Linked DNA regions of Rattus norvegicus. The protein of the gene in region 1 interacts with the protein of each later gene in a pairwise test. Links are inferred from orthologs where the notes say so. Each region holds a gene or a part of one and is shown on either strand. Other genes may lie near its edges.

The links.
Region 2: the proteins of Bptf (region 1) and Maz interact in a two-hybrid assay, tested with the Homo sapiens proteins (2 studies listed by BioGRID). The link is inferred for Rattus norvegicus from reciprocal best matches to the Homo sapiens genes BPTF and MAZ.

Annotation. Positions count from the first base shown.
Region 1 is NC_086028.1:92,579,541-92,583,893, reverse strand, and holds the start of Bptf (bromodomain PHD finger transcription factor), read left to right. Parts: upstream 1-1,480; 5' UTR 1,481-1,699; coding exon 1,700-2,342; intron 2,343-4,353. UniProt on the Homo sapiens protein: Regulatory subunit of the ATP-dependent NURF-1 and NURF-5 ISWI chromatin remodeling complexes, which form ordered nucleosome arrays on chromatin and facilitate access to DNA during DNA-templated processes such as DNA replication, transcription, and repair.
Region 2 is NC_086019.1:191,061,817-191,066,138, forward strand, and holds the start of Maz (myc-associated zinc finger protein), read right to left. Parts: upstream 3,074-4,322; 5' UTR 2,764-3,073; coding exon 2,572-2,763; intron 2,499-2,571; coding exon 1,648-2,498; intron 1,268-1,647; coding exon 1,204-1,267; intron 1,069-1,203; coding exon of another isoform or gene 973-1,068; exon of another isoform or gene 940-972; coding exon 768-939; exon of another isoform or gene 643-767; intron 23-642; coding exon of another isoform or gene 1-22. Other genes in the region: kinesin-like protein KIF22, read right to left, coding at 4,208-4,322. UniProt on the Homo sapiens protein: Transcriptional regulator, potentially with dual roles in transcription initiation and termination.

The DNA.
Region 1 (4,353 bases):
ATAGTGAGTTCTAGGCCAGCCAGGGCTGCACAGCAAGACCCTGTCCTAATAAAATAAAACATCCACTATCATCAAGGAAGATCTGAAGACCTGCCTATTTGGGGCCTGCATTCCTATAGCTGTAGTCTTTGAACAAAACTTTAGCCTTTGTTTACCAAAGAATTCATAGGGCTCACTTTCTTTACTTTGGTACCACTCTCAGAGATCAACCCAAGTAAAGTGAATCAGTGATAAATTAGTAGGCAATTAGTACTTGCTTTTTTTTTAAAAAAAAAAAAAGGTTTATTTATTATTTCATGTATGCGAGTACACTACAGCTGTTTTCAGACACACCAGAAGAGGGCATCAGATCTCATAACAGATGGCTATGAACCACCACATGGTTGCTGGGATCTGAACTCAGGAGCGCTGGAAGAGCAGGCAGTCCTCTTAACCACTGAGCCATCTCTCCTACCCTAATACTTGGTTTTCAATTTTCAGGTTTATTCACTGAACCATATTGTAATTAGCCATTTGGTGGGCTGAATCATATTAACTATTTTTCTTCAAATCACTTTTTTGGTACTCACATCTATCAATAAGCACTCATATAGGTTCCTAAAACCTTTCTTTTCTTTCCAGAGGCCACACCGAGAACACTGTCTTGAGCCACCTCAATTTGGCGACATTTGGTGCATGTGTCTGGAATTTTATCTTGGTGACTAGCTCCCTAGGCCAAACCAAGACTGGTAGTTTGTCAAGTAGACATTATTTCCAGGTAACACAAACACATAACTTTGAGAAGCCAATTATAGACAGGACACCATCCTTCCTATCACAAGTTCTGGCTGAGGCGTGGAAGTTCCTAGCTGGGAAGTGGGAAAGGTGCCTGGAGGCCCGCAAGGAACCATGCTCTGGAATTTAACCCTGGCTGGTAGGGTGGGGACTCCAGGAAAGTCAGTGAAACCACCCTGGGGGTGTGGCTCCAGGCGTGCAATCCTGGAACAACTTCAGGCCCCTCTAGATCTAAGCCTTTGGGAGTTCTGTATTGGGACTGACTTATCTCCAGCTCCTGTCCCTGAGTGGGTGGCTTTGCGTGGCCACTGTCCTCAGTCTCTAGGACGCGCCTCCCCGCGAGAACCCCCTCTCCGCTTTTTCTGCATCAATTTCCCCAAAAGAACCAGTGACTTGGGGGAAGCTCGTTTTCCGGCCCGGATTTGGACAGACACGCATCGAGGTCTCCCTGAGCTCCAGTTGGTGGGGGGGTCGTCTCTCAGGAGGAGACACCAGACTGGGGGGACAGACACCCCACGCCACCCATCTCGCCCCTGCGCCGCCGCCGTCCAGCCGCGCAGGGGCGCTCCGGGGCCTCCCGGCCCCCGCCGCGCCGCTCCCGCGCTCCCCCTAGCGGCCGCCGCGCTGCCTCGCTCTGTCCCAGGCTCGTCGGGCGGCGCAGCTCACGTGACCGCGCTCCGGGCCTGCGGCCGCTGTCGGTTCCCCCAGTCACCGAGCGAGAGGGAAGAAACAAGATGGCGGCTGCAGGCGATCCGGAGCGGGGCCCCGGCAATTCGGACTGAGCCTTCTCTCTCCACCCCGCCGCTGCCGGGCCGCGCCCCTCCCGCCCGGGCCCCGGCGCCCTCCCCTCCCCCTCGGCCCCGGCGCCCCCCGGCGCCCCTCCCCCACCCCTTCCGCTCCCCCCCCCTCAAGCCGCGGCTCCGACATGAGGGGCCGGCGGGGCAGGCCGCCCAAGCAGCCCGCGGCTCCTGCTGCGGAGCGCTGCGCCCCGGCCCCGCCGCCGCCGCCGCCGCCACCACCGCCACCACCACCGCCGCCGCCGCCGCCGCCCGCCTCCGGACCCATCGGGGGGCTGCGCTCGCGGCACCGCGGCAGCAGTCGGGGCAGGTGGGCCGCCGCCCAGGCTGAGGTGGCGCCCAAGACCCGGCTGAGCTCGCCCAGGGGGGGCGGCCGCAGGAAGCAGCCACCGCCGCCGCCGGCCTCCGCCAGCAGCGCCAGCGGCCCGGGCCGGGGGGGCCGAGGAGGCGGGGGCGGCAGGACGGGGGGCGGGGGCGGCCACCTGGCCCGGACCACCTCGGCCCGCCGTGCCGTCAACAAAGTGGTGTACGATGACCACGAGAGCGAGGACGACGATGAGGAGGAGGACATGGTCTCGGAGGAGGACGAAGAGGAGGAGGAGGATGGCGACGCCGAGGAGACCCAGGATTCCGAGGACGACGAGGAAGATGACATGGAAGAAGACGACGATGACTCCGATTATCCGGAGGAGATGGAAGACGACGACGACGACGCTAGTTACTGCACGGAGAGCAGCTTCAGGAGCCATAGTACATACAGCAGCACTCCAGGTACCCACCCAGGCCGCCTGGAGACTCCTTCCCCACCTCCTCCCCTCCCCCTGGCTTGCTCCCTCTCGAGTGCAGTGCATCCTGCTTCCTAGCTCCCCCCACTCCCGGCCTGTCCCCCACGCGGAGGCCACGGCGCGTCTAGTGACAAAAAAAAAAAAAAGAAAAAGACAAAACAAAACTAGATTTGCAAGAGGAAAGAGGCGCATTGTTCAAAATGGAGATTGCATTGTTGCAGTTTGCAGGCCACACACTCGTTCGCTCTTCTTCTCCCCCCCTCCCTCTCTTTCCTCTTCAAAATTTGTGCCAAGTGCGGTGTCTCCACCAGTCAGGATTGAAACTTTGGCACACACGTATCCATTGAGCTCGTCTTTCTCTCCTTGTTTTGGTATGAGTGTTTTATTTATTTATTTTGCAATGAAAGAAGCCTCCTGCTTTGCAAACCGTTGCATGTCTAATACGTTTTGTTGTAGATTTGAAAGAAAAATGACCTGGTCCTTAAAAGTGAGAATTTAGATCGTGGCAGCACACATAGACGTGCTTCCTTTCCTATCCCCTAGTTATATAGTTTGGTAACTGTTTTGGGGGAAGGGTTGTTTTTCGGTGAGCAGGGAGCTTCCTGGGGTCCTGAGCGCTTGTTTGTGTTCTTCGAGTGAGCCCTCGTGGTCGCGTGCAACAGTTGCTGGTAAATGGCTGATTGAAGAGCAAAGCAGAGAACTAGACCAAACCAAATTTGTCAATCCTTCCGATTTAAAATTACTTTGGTTAAGTTCCAAATAAAAGTTTAACACCACGGGGGCCGTGTGTCCTAACCAGTTTGATCTTGGCTTTGCGTGGGAGATGCAGTTTCGTGGCACCTGTTGCCGAAGATGTGTGGTTGATCATCTAGGCGCAATTGCCAAAGATGAACTTTTTGAAGTCACGGTCTAGAAGTGTCAGCTTGAACCTGACAGGACTTTTTCTTGCTGTTCTGTTTCTGAGGAAAAAGCCCTACCTGGATCAGCAGTGGGTTTCATCAGTAGTGGTGAATTCTCGGATGTTTTTTCGCATTATTTCTTGAGGTTGGCCCTGAGATGTGTGTCTTGTTCAAGTAAAAGACACACATGCAATTGCTCCTTTGTATTAAATGAATAGTTATGGGACTGGGGGGGGGTGGTCCTTAACTTGTAGCAACAGACTGTCAGGCTTTTTTTTTTTTATGTCTCTATTAACCAGGATTCATAAAATTAAGGTCTAATTGTAAGGACATTTGCAGAGTAAATGAGGACATAGGGTCTTTCTAGGAGAGTCTGTCTTACTGTTTTCAGGGACGATGAGGGTACTAGGAGTGCTTAAATGTAAGTGTTTTCGTTTTTTATAAGTTCCTAACTGCTGCAAGTATGAGAATTAAGCCAGATTAGATTGGTTAACACCAAGTGAAAAAAGCCAATTTCTTTTGCCTGACTGTAAGAAGGTTGCCTATTTTATGGGCTTGGAGGGAGGCTATCTTTTTTTTTTTAATAAAGATTTATTTATTGTATATAAGTACACTGTAGCTGTCTTCAGACACATCAGAAGAGGGCATCAGATCCCATTACAGATGGTTATGAGCCACCATGTGGTTGCTGGGATTTGAACTCAGGACCTTAGGAAGAGCAGTCAGTGCTCTTAACCACTGAACCATCTCTCCAGCCCGGGAGGCCATTTTTTAGCAAGTTTAATTTCTTGCTTACTTAGTTTAGAGTGTCTTTTATAGGTTTTTACTGTAAGAAACAACATGTTGGGCATCTGTATCAAGAGCTCAGAATCGAACTGAAGACTGCCCACAGCAGTGGGGGAAGTTAGTTTTTGGGTTAGGACTCAGGCATTTTGGCTGGGCAGTTAAGCTAACTTTTAACTCCTTGAAGACCTGGCCAATAGTACCGATCAGTTGAAGGCCATTAAAATGCTGAATTAAATTGCAATTTGTGGTTAAAGATCCTTTTTAAACAACCATGTAAAATTTGGGAAATTTTTTTTTGTAAATAGGTTTTTA
Region 2 (4,322 bases), on another chromosome or scaffold:
AGGTATGCTGCTGTGGTGAAGCCTATGGGGGGGGTGGGGGTGGGATGCGGGTTTGGGGTCAGCCTGGTGGAGACCCCGGAGACAGGGCTGTTCTCCTAGGCTGGGGACACCCTCCTCATGTGGCACTGTCCTCCTCCCACCACATCCTTGGTAGGCTGGGGCCAACTACTCCAGTGGAACATAGCCTTTCCCTGAGCTTGGGGCCTGTTCCGAGTGGTACCCATTTCTTAACCCTTAATACCTACAGAGACCTTCCCCCATGACAGCACGCTGTTGCCTAGCTTTCTAAAGGGCTGACTCTCAGTAGAGACGGCTGTGTCCCCCCATCCAGTGCCCCAGTCTCAGCTCCTTTAGTAAATAACCACATTGAAAACAGGTTCTGTTACTGGGTAGGGCTTGTTACACCCATGCTCATCTACTCCACCTGCCCCAAGAGTTGGAGACAAGAACTTGTGGCTGCAAAGTTGAAACCCTGGGGACAGGTTTTTTGGTGATTTCTTTCTCAAAGCAACCGCGTCCCACTTCATTTTCCCCAAGCACACCCAAGAGGCTGAGTTTCTGGTGGACAGCCTCCTGTGAGCCATGGTACTTAATTTAGTGATGTTCAGTTGCTTCCAATGGTGTTGTGCTTGCTTCTTAAAGGGTTCTCTACACGCCACGAGCTCTTGGCTGCAGCACCCTTGACCCAAATCAGTGAAAAAACCAACAGCTCTGTGCCCACCCAACCCCACTTTATCCCTGCCCTCCTAGCATCCCTTAGCATGTACCTTTGTTGCAGAGCTCACAGACATGGTGAGGGCCCTGGCTGTGCACCTTCATGTGGTCCGAAATATAAGCTGAGCTCAGCATCTTGCCACACACATGACATGGCACCTTCTCCTCGTGTCGTACTGTGTGCGCTCGGAGTCGATCCTTCGTAGCAAAAGCTGCCTCACATTTCTGGGGGGGAGGGTGTGGGGGGTCACAGGAGAGTTAAAGCTTCGGGGAGTAGAGAGAAGGGAGCAAGATAAAGGGATCAGAGCCTTGGGGATCTTTGATCTGTAGGAAATGGGCGTGAGATGACCAGGCCTTGAAGAAGAAATGTGAAAATGGAGTGAAGAGGCAAAAAGAGAGAGAAAAAGGGGGTCTGAGAGGCTGAACCCACACAGCTACAATGAGGATCAAAATCATGAAAACCAGGACAGGAGGAAGCGGGCTTCCTACCTCACATTTGAAGGGCCGCTCTGTAGAGTGCACTTGTCTGACGTGACTGTTGAGGTGATCCGGCCTAAGGACATGTTGAGGTGGGAGGGGGCGTGTGTTAGGGCTAAGGCTACAAGGTGAGGTGTGCCTCAAATCTACTTAGGTTCCTCCAAAATTCCTTTCCAAAGTCCCAGCGTTTCCCCACAGCTTCAGTCCTCAGGCAGGAGAGCTCTCAAACCAAGATTCCTCTTCTGCCCAGAGGCTACTTTCCTTCAGCCCAAAGACCCACCTCTTCTACAAAAGTACCACCCCCTGTTCCTAATAACCACGAGGCTCACTTCCCTCCTCCCTGGGAGTGGTGCCTGTCCCCAGGAACGGGAGCCGCCTCCCCACCAGCCAAAGATAGGCCACCTTGTTGCCCTCCCCCCACCATCGGCCTAGTGGGCAGCCGAGGCCCCTGCACACCGGGAGAAGCTCTTGCCACAGTGGGAGCAGTTGTAGGGCTTGTGCACAGCGCCGTCATGTGAGCGCACGTGGTAACTCATGCGGTCCTTGCGCTTGAAGCGCTGCTGGCACACAGGGCACTGGTAGGGCTTCTCGTCCGAATGCGACAGCTTATGTCGGTTCAGGTGGTAGACGTCGCGGAAGGCCTTGCCGCACATCTCACAGGCGTGATTCTTCCGGATGCGCTTTCCAGAGGCAGTCGTGGTCACAACACCACCAGCCGCCACCGCGGCCGTGCCGCCGCCAGCCCCGGCTTCTCCCCCACCCCCGCTGGCCCCGCTCAGCTGGGGGACGCTCAAGAGGCTCAGGGGCACCATCGTGGGCATCTTCATAGCACCCGAGGGGACCCGGCCAGCCTTGGCTCCTGTGTGGATGGCTTCGTGCCTTCGGAGGTTGTAGCCGTTCTTGAACTCCTTGGCGCACAAAGCGCAAATGTAGGGCCCCTTGCTCTTTGTCTTCTTCTCCAAGACAGATGCAACCGGGGCCACAGCGACCGTCGAGGTTGGGGCGACAACAGCGGTGGCAGCCGCTGCGGCGATAGTGGCAGCCGCGGCGGGGGGCGCGGCCTCGGCGGCTGGTGCGGATACGGCAGGGGGTGGTGGAGGAGGCGCCGGAGGCTGCTTCAGGGCCGCTGTGTCCACTGTGGAGGCGGCAGCAGGGGCCGGGGGTGCAGTAACCACTGCAGCGGCAGCAGCCGCAGCAGCTGCAGCCGCTGCGGCTGATTCTTGCGCGGCGGCGAGAACCGGGAGCAAGTCCACTTGGAGGGGCTCGGCCGCCGGGGCCTGGGGCGTGGGTGGGGGCGCTGGCGCGGCCTGCGGAGACAAGGCGCCGTGTGGGCCGCGGTCGCTGGTCGGCGCCTGCCCGCCCGGCCCGGCCCCTACTCACCTGGAATGGACTCTGGGCGCAGCCCTGGGAGGCAAAGAAGCGGGACTGGAGCTCAGCCCCGACCTGCAGGGGGTTCTGGGCGTGACCCTGAGGTGGCGGGAAGGAGTTCATGAGGCCGCCCACCCCCCGGGAGTCCAGGCCCAGCACGGGGAAGGGGGGGGCCAGCAGCGTGCAAGGGAACACGGGGAACATGGCCTCGGCCACAGTGGGGCCCCCGGTGCTCAGCGGGAGCCGGGGGCACGGGCCGCGCGGGGCCCGGGCTCGGGGCGCCGCCCCCGGCCGGCCGGGTTGGGCCGAGCCGAACGCATGGCCCGAGGGCCGCCCCGCCGCCCGCGCACCCCGGCCGGCGGGAGGGAGGGAAGGAGGGCGTCTTGTGGGGCGCGGAGCGCGGCGGCGGAGGCGACGCCCCCTGGGTGGGGGCGAGAGGCCCCGCGGGGCCGAGGGCCGGGGCCGGGGGCGGGGGCCCGGGCGGCGGCGGCGGTGGTGGCGGCAGTTGGAGCCTGGCGGGGCGGGGTGGGGGGAGCGAGGGAGCAGCTTCGGCCCCCGCCGCGCGCGCGCGCCCAGCCGGCGCCTCGGGGAGGGCGGGGGAGGGCGCGAGGGAGGGAGGGGGACAGCTGCGCGCGCACCGGGCGCGCGGAGGGGGTGTGGGACAGGAGGGAGGGCGGGCAGGAGGGGGTGTGGGAGGGGGGGCAGGGGCGGGGGGGCGGGGGTTGTTACCTGGAAGATGAAGCTGCTCCAGTTGCTGGGATCCATGGCGGAGGGAGGAGGGAGGTGGCTCGCGCTCACCCCGGGGCGGGAGGAGGCAGCGGTGGGGGAGGGGGGACCCGGGGAGGAGGCGCGCAAGGAGGGAGGGGGGAGGAGGGTGGGGGAGCGGAGCACACTGCGCGCCGGAGGGCGGGCGGGGGGCGCGAGGACACACAAGAGGCTGGAGCGGGCGCGAGCGCGAGTGCGCGCGGGGCCAGCGGGAGGGGGAAGTACAGGAGGGACTCTAGAGGGCGGAGGGACGGGGTAGCCACCCAGCAGCCCTAGCCGCCCCGAGCGCGAGACCCCCGAGACGGTTGCTGATTGGCTGGCGATGGTGCAGGTGGTGGGCGCGCGGGAGACTAGGCGGCTTCTCTTCCCCCACTTGAACGATTCCACCCCCCACTTCCCTCCGCCAGCGGCCGTTATTTCGCGCGCACGCGCACATAACACGGACGTCGTCGCTGAGCGGGAGAATGGGGAGCGCGCCGAGGGAGTACAGCGGGGCGGGGCTAACTCAAAGCGCGTGCTCGCTTAACGGTCGCTGTGCTTAAGCTTTCCGCTTCAGCTTTTTGATTCTTCTAGGCCACCGTCCCCTCCCCAATCCAGTGTTTTATTTACAATCTTGGCCTAGTTTGGGGGTTCCCCAAACATGGCGCCAATGGGTGTCCCGCAGAGCTTGATCCTGACCCCCAAGGTAGTTATAGGTTCTCCCTACAGCCCTGCCATCAAAAATCAGGCTCAAGCACGGAATAAAAGCTGTATTTACACAACATCACTATACAAGAATTTTTAAAAGAAAAAGGTAGTGTCAAGAGCTGGTAGTCAAGAGGGACCACTGTGCTGGCTGGCAGCCAAGCTCAAGAGATTCGCCTGTAAAGAAGAGGAAAGTGCGTTAATGTAACAGCCGAAGGTGGTCTGGGGTGGAATTACAACATGCAGGCCGGTAGAGAAAGGGCAAAGGTGGCCTTACCTTCAGGAAAGACTCTACCTGCTTCCCAGAGATGCCT